Linked DNA regions of Cricetulus griseus. The protein of the gene in region 2 purifies or fractionates together with the protein of the main gene of each other region. This does not show direct contact. Links are inferred from orthologs where the notes say so. Each region holds a gene or a part of one and is shown on either strand. Other genes may lie near its edges. The genes, in order: Dcc and caspase-9-like.

The links.
Region 1: the proteins of caspase-9-like (region 2) and Dcc purify together in Homo sapiens (co-immunoprecipitation; 3 studies listed by BioGRID and IntAct, with this or other methods). This does not show direct contact. The link is inferred for Cricetulus griseus from reciprocal best matches to the Homo sapiens genes CASP9 and DCC.

Annotation. Positions count from the first base shown.
Region 1 is NC_048595.1:168,279,871-168,283,696, reverse strand, and holds part of Dcc (netrin receptor DCC), read right to left. Parts: intron 1,211-3,826; coding exon 978-1,210; intron 1-977. UniProt on the Homo sapiens protein: Receptor for netrin required for axon guidance. Mediates axon attraction of neuronal growth cones in the developing nervous system upon ligand binding. Its association with UNC5 proteins may trigger signaling for axon repulsion.
Region 2 is NC_048595.1:11,416,436-11,419,606, forward strand, and holds part of caspase-9-like, read right to left. Parts: intron 3,107-3,171; coding exon 2,927-3,106; intron 2,422-2,926; coding exon 2,312-2,421; intron 513-2,311; coding exon 423-512; 3' UTR 1-422. UniProt on the Homo sapiens protein: Involved in the activation cascade of caspases responsible for apoptosis execution. Binding of caspase-9 to Apaf-1 leads to activation of the protease which then cleaves and activates effector caspases caspase-3 (CASP3) or caspase-7 (CASP7).

The DNA.
Region 1 (3,826 bases), about 160 Mb from region 2:
TGAAGTAAGCAGAATTAAATCTTTATTTCAGAACAAATGATCTACAACTGTTATAGATACAGAACAGGTGCATGCTGATCTTTCTAATTTGTTGACACTGTCTACCAATTAAACATGTTAACATGGTCTGGGATTTAGAAGGCTATATGCCTTTCTTTGCTAGTAACTCTTTGTTAGAATCTCCAAGCTTGGGCAAGAGAGATGGAAAAGTGAAATGACTGTTCTTAAATATCACTAAGGTTCCCTGGAATGAGTATTAAATGATTTGGAAATTATTATACAAACAGGAGGCTGGTATAAGTCTGGTTCATTTAAGGGAGTTTCCTTATGACAGGAAGACGGTTTCAAAGCTAAGTAAGGAAATTGATGTTAATCACTTTCAAAACATTCCTAGGATGTTATAAGGAATCTTCACATCATGTATTCCCTGTTATTCTCTCTCTGTCTCTCTGTCTCTGTCTCTGTGTCTCTGTCTCTGTCTCTCTCTGTCTCTCTCTGTCTCTCTCTCTCTCTGTCTCTCTCTCTCTTTCTCTCTCTCTCTCTCTCTCTCTCTCTCTGTGTGTGTGTGTGTGTGTGTGTGTGTGTGTGTGTGTGTGTGTGTGTGTGCGTATGTGTATTATTAAGAGAGCAATCTAGGTTCCAAATAAAAGGAATCATATCAGTATCTATTCGCAAGATGTTATTGGAGTCCTGTTATTTCCAAGGAAAATGGCTTTCTTTCCTACAGAAGCAAAAGTCAGGTTCAGGCAGTGTCTGGTGGTATTCAGACATCATTTTGCAGCTCTTGATATTTTTCTACCTTAACTGTTGTCGATTTCCAAAAGAATAATTCTTCTTAACTAACTTTAGATATTCAATTACTAAAATGCCTCGTAAAAATCACTGTAGAAGAGTGTTTTTCGACAGGCCAGGATACATTGAAAACAACAACACATGGAAGATAATTTTAAATTTCATGCAATCAATTTGACTTTCACCTTGTACTTGGCACTGGTAGAAAAGCTGGTTCTCCATCGGACAGTGTAAAGTCGCACATCGGATGTTTTTTGGTTCTTCGGGACAGAGTTGTCTGCCCAGCTGACCCTCACAGCCTCATGGGTAAGAGCCACAGCCTGTACACCTACTGGTGGGAGCATGGGGGTGGAGACATCTGGGCCCGAGGTGGGGAAATCATCAAGCAAAGGATAATAATCAACTGGGTCAGTGGGATCTGGGTTAAAAACCCATCAAATGAAACAAACGAATGTGTAAACAAAGAGTTAAAATAAATACCAGTGGTAACACATCACAATGAGTTAAATGCATGGCAATAAAGATGAAAGGGAACATGAGAAGAACAGAAAAAATGCAATTAATTAAACCATGAAATATAATAAGAACAGTATTGCTATGTTAAAAATGACAGTATTTCCTCATATTTATGTTTAAATAGATTATGTATATCTTAAAAGCCCATCTTGTTTGACTGTTGCACATTGTTTCTTACAAGGTTTAGTTTACTAAATTATCAGCTTCATGATTTATCAAATATTTGAAATAACAATAAAAGTGTTATTTCTGGTGATTTTTTCTGAAATGGAAATAAATGCTATTGGACATCTTAATTTTCTTCTTTATCTTTGATTTTGCTGTGTTTTTATATTCCTTTTACTATTGTCTAGATTATATCTCTATAAATATTGTTCAGTCGACACACAAAATCTATGAAAGAACCTATATATATATATATATATATATATATATATATATATATATATCAGTTATTCTATCAAAGCCAGAGTGAGCACATATGCATGGTCACATGGGTCAATATTCATCTGATGTCTACAAGCTAGTATCAGATGGGGACTGGTAAGCAGGTTTCTTAGGTTGTAATATTAAAGTGTAGAAGTGCTCATCTTCCTGCTTTCTCATGCATAGGTTAGTTCCATTTTCAGTCCAGTCAGGCATTCCTATATTACCTTCCTGATTCTAAAACTGCAAGTGCAGTGGAAAGAATGAACATCATTGATAGGAAGACAAATTAACTACCTTCAGAATGAGAGATTGCCACTGAGATATGCAGGTGCTTTGATCAATAACATGATTGGAATCTGAAGAATGATGTGTGATTGTACAAACTTTCCTAAAACCTTTACACTTATCCTATGCTGGGACAACTACAATCTCAGAAGCTTACATTGTGGTAATAATAATCATTTCATTTTGAGACACTCAAATTTATAGATGGCAGATAAAAAACCGACCTTTATATGACGCAGTAAGGAATCTCACTAACAAAAATTTGAAACTGACAGAATTCTAAGACTGGACAGTTGAAGTCATTTAAGGGAATGAGATCAGAGAGGCAGCAGCAGCTTATACAGTTTATTATTTTAATAACCAAGCTCAAAGCTGAGTTGTTGTTGGCCAGTCTGTTGATTACTGCCTCTTTACCTTGGTTTTCAAATTCTCAGCCCCTATTCACCACTCTGCTTTCCAATGAATTATTAAGCATGTTACTAGCCTGTGGTTTTGGAGAAAATATTTTTAAAACTGAAGACAGAAACAGAACAAAAGGAAAGGAGAGGGAGAGGAAGGAAGAGAGAGAGAGAGAGAGAGAGAGAGAGAGAGAGAGAGAGAGAGAGACAGAAACAGAGAGAGACAGACACAGAGAGACAGAGAGAGAGACAGAGAGAGAGACAGAGAGATAGACAGAGAGACAGAGAGAGAGAGCGCTCTGGGATTAAAATTTGATGACAGAGCCCAGGCTTTCCATATTTCTTTTGATGTCTCTTCTTACTAAAGGCTCCTTTAAAGTCAAATGGATTGATGAAATGATGAAAAGAGAACAGAAGAAGCTGTAGCCTCTACAGGAATTTGAGTCATATAGTAGGTTTGTTTAGCAGGAAAAACTGTTTCTTGCCAAACTACAGCAAGTATTGCCTTTCACATTTGTATTTTTGCCTGATTTTGAAAGAAGAATTTTATGAATAGAGGAAGAATAGTCTAATGTATGAACTACTTTTGACTTCTCCATGTCATGGGCTAGCATGTAGTTTATGTAAACATGGTCTCTCATCCTTTGTAATAAAGTCTTGATCCTATTTAGGAAATGACAAAAGTCAATCCTGCTAGTTATGATTTTTTAAATAAAAATGCTCATGGCTGTTATTTATTGAATATTTTAGAGTCAACTACAGAATAACCCCACTGTATTTAAAGCAATGTTGTCTGTAGTGATTTATCTATGGACGTAATGTGATCCAGAGACTTTTGACAATGGCTAAGTTTTATTTTCTATATTAGTGAATACAATTTATTTTCATCATTCTCCATGGCAATCCCTCTAGAATTTTGCTGCATAATATAACACTATGTTCTATAGCTTTTATCAATTTAAACTACATAAATAATTATTTTGACTATTTACTCATTTTTATGGTGGCCAGTTTCAGTGGTCCTAAGTGCTCAGTCCCCACTTTAAGGATAGAGCAGATAAACTACATTTCTAGCAGAGAAGGGAATTCCAGAGAGCAAGCCATAGTGTGAAAATATGCTACACATGTTGCAAGTGTTCTTTTAATCTCTCATCAGGAATTTCTTGAGTAATGGGCTATAAACATCCTTTTGCTACTAAACTGTTCTTTAATGATTCTTCCACTGTTAGGATATCTTGTATCCTCTCAATTTCAGAGGTACAGGAAGGCATATATGTGTATGTAAGCATATATGTATATATATATTCTTTTTTCTGAAGAAGAAACAGTTTCTAACATAGTTTGGTAATCTTCCATTTTTATTCATTATACTTGCTTAAAATGGGTTTTTTTAATTAATAGTTTTC
Region 2 (3,171 bases):
GTCTCCTAGGGCAAATGTGACAATGTCTGAAGACATTTCTGGGTGGTAAAACTCAGGAAGGGTGCTCGTGGCAACACCCTTTGATACACAAGACAGTCCCATGACAGGACTATACAACCCCACATGTCAGTAGGGCAGACTCAGAGAAGTCCTGCTCTAGAGAGGACCTGGGGGTCACAGGCCACAGTCCCTAACCTCAGCTGAAGAGACACAGTGACAATGACAGCACTCTGTCCCTCTCCCTCCAATGCTCTGCCTCTCTCACCAACCTGGGAGCTGTTAGGAGCTTGTCTGCCAAAGAAGGGAAGAGAGCGGCCTGCCACGGTTCCAAAACCCTGGCTTTGCAGGACAGTCCAGTCTCAGTCACCTCCAGGCCATGAAGGTTTAGGGGAACATTCAGGCAAGGAGCAGCCCCAGTCTCATTAAGTTTTAAAAAACAGCTTTTTCCGGAGGAAGTTAAAACAGCCAGGAATCTGTTTATAAATCCCTTTCTCAGAAACTGCATGGGCGACCTGCAAAACAGAATCACAGGGGCAATCTGTGAGTTCAGTGTCCTTGTCTGAGGCCTTAACTGAGGGGGCGGGCCACTGAAGGGGCCATCTGAAGGTGACCCTACCTACAGTCTCCTGGGGTGGGTTATAGAACAAACACCTCAGCTACTGGGAAAGAATGGAAAATCCAACTTCTCTAATATAAAAATTCACAATTCCAATCAGACAGAAACGCTAGGGGTAAGGAAGTGGGGAAGAGGAGACCCAGAGACAACATGAGCTGCTCAGCTGTCCTCTGTCCTGTAGGGCCCCACGCAGGACCGGAAGTGACTCCTAGAGCCCAGGGGTTGCACTGGGCAGAGCAGTGGAAACCCACCGGGCCCTAATTGTTGTGGAGCAATCTTTTCAGGGGGCAGAGATGTGCTGCCTTTGTTTACCTGAACTGTGCATCGGTGTTACTTTTGTTTATGTTGCACTGGTTAATGATGTAAGGATGTGTGTTTACTCATGAAAGATGAGTTTCACATTTGTTTCACCTTGCCTGCCTACAGCACCTGATTGGTCTAATAAAAAGCTGAACAGCCAATAGCTAGGAAGGAGAGGGATAGGCAGGCCTGGTGGGCAGAGAATAAATAGGGGGAGGAGCAAAAACTGGAGGAAAGAGGGAGAAAGATGAGGTCTCACTGGAGGCAAGAAGCCAGGCATCTGCCAGCCACACAGGAGGGCAGTGAAAGTATACAGAAGGAAAGGAAAGGACAACCCCAAAGACAAGAAGTAAATAAAGAGAAGCAGGTCAATTTAAGGGAAAAGATCTAGACAAAAACCAGCCTAAGTGTAGCCAAGCATTCATAACTAATAAGAAGTCTCGGGGGCTGGAGAGATGGCTCAGTGGTTAAGAGCAATGGCTGCTCTTCCAGAGGACCCGGGTTCTATTCCAAGCTCCCACATGGCAGCTCACACCTGTCTGTAACTCCAGTTCTAGGGGACCTGGTATCCTTACACCAATGCATATTAAATAAAGTTTCAAAAAAAATTTTTTTAATTTAAAAAATTTCTTTAAAAAAAAAAAAAGAAGTCTCCATGATTTGACAGCTGGTTGATGGCCAAAAGAAAAAGCCTGGTATACACCTTATGGGTACAACCAAGTGCCCTGAGGTGGCTGGCTGCTATGAAGCAAGGCACTGCCACGCCCCTTCCCTGTTCATTCTCATTGGGGCCTCCAGGAAGGGAACAATCTAGACAGAATCACAATGCTTGAAGATAAAGAGTCATAGCATGGGGCTGGGGATGTAGCTCAGTTGGGAGATTACTTATCTAGCATACGTGACACCCTGGGTTTCACCCCCAGCACTGCATAAATTGGGTGTGGTGGTTAACACCTGTAATCCCAGCACTCAGGAAGTAGAGGCAGGAGGACCAAAAGTTCAAGTTCATTGCTCTTTGCATGGCAAGTTCTAGGCCAGCCTGGGCTACCTGGAACAATCTAAAAAGAGAGCACGTGGGGATGTGCCACAGAGCTAAGCGAGAAGCATATGGCCAGGCTTCAGGGTACCATGCTCTTGCCACTGAGCCACCCCACCTGGCACTTAAGACCACTTTGTCTTCTGGGAACCAGATGCCTGTCTGCTCATCTGTCTCTAAAGAGTCGGGAAAAGATGGCACTTTGCAAACAGGACAAACGTCATCGCCATGGTGACATTCCTCATTTGAGAGACAACGTGCTCCCTGACTCTCAGCCAGGGCCCATCAGCATTTACAGCAGACTAGAGCCTGCTGCCCTGCTCACCAGGCCCCTCCAGCCCTCAGAAAGAAGTACTCACCCTGAGAAGGAGGGACTGCAGGTCTTCAGAGTGAGCCCACTGCTCCAGGACACCATCCAAGGTCTCTATGTACCAGGAGCCGCTCTTCTTGTCTCTCCAGGAGACAAAACCTGCAGGAAGACAGGATGAACTCTGCCACACAGTGGAGTGGCACTCTCCTTGGCAGAAGAAGCTGGGTACAGCCAGATCCAGACTGTGGTTTGTGGACAGGTGGCAAAGGCGGCCCCATCCCTGTGGCTCCCTGCTACTTTTCACCCTCAACACCACTGACTGCCTGGGGCTCCCATCTTCTCAGTATGGAAATCGAGGTTCTGAGAAGTCAGGGGTCTCAAGCAGATTGAAGGATGCACCTTATCCCTGCCCTGCCACCAGGTGCCCATCACAGTGCTGAGGGAAGTGCCAGCCGCTCCCTTGTCGAATCTGCAGGTTAACCCCAACGGGAATTATTATTCTTAATCTACATGCCAGTCTGAAGCATTGCCTGCTTCACCCTGAGAAGGGGCTTAGGAGAGGTGAAGTGACTTGCCAAGGACCCCACAGGCTGTGTCCAGCAGAAACAAGACCTCAGGACATAGCTGCCTCCAGGGCTAAGGGCGAGTGCACAGATGGGCTCACCTGGGAAGGTGGAATAGGATACAAGGATGTCGCTGGGGGTGGGCAAACTTGACACGGCATCCAGCTGGTCAAAGGGCCTTGGGCCTTCCTGGTATGGGACAGCATCTGGCTCAGAGTCACTGTCTAAGTCCCTGCCTCGAGAGGAAGTGCAGGCCACCTCAAAGCCATGGTCTTTCTGCTCTGTAGGGGGCAAAAACAGACACCCAATGTCACAACGGCGGAGAAACACTATAGCACAAGGTACT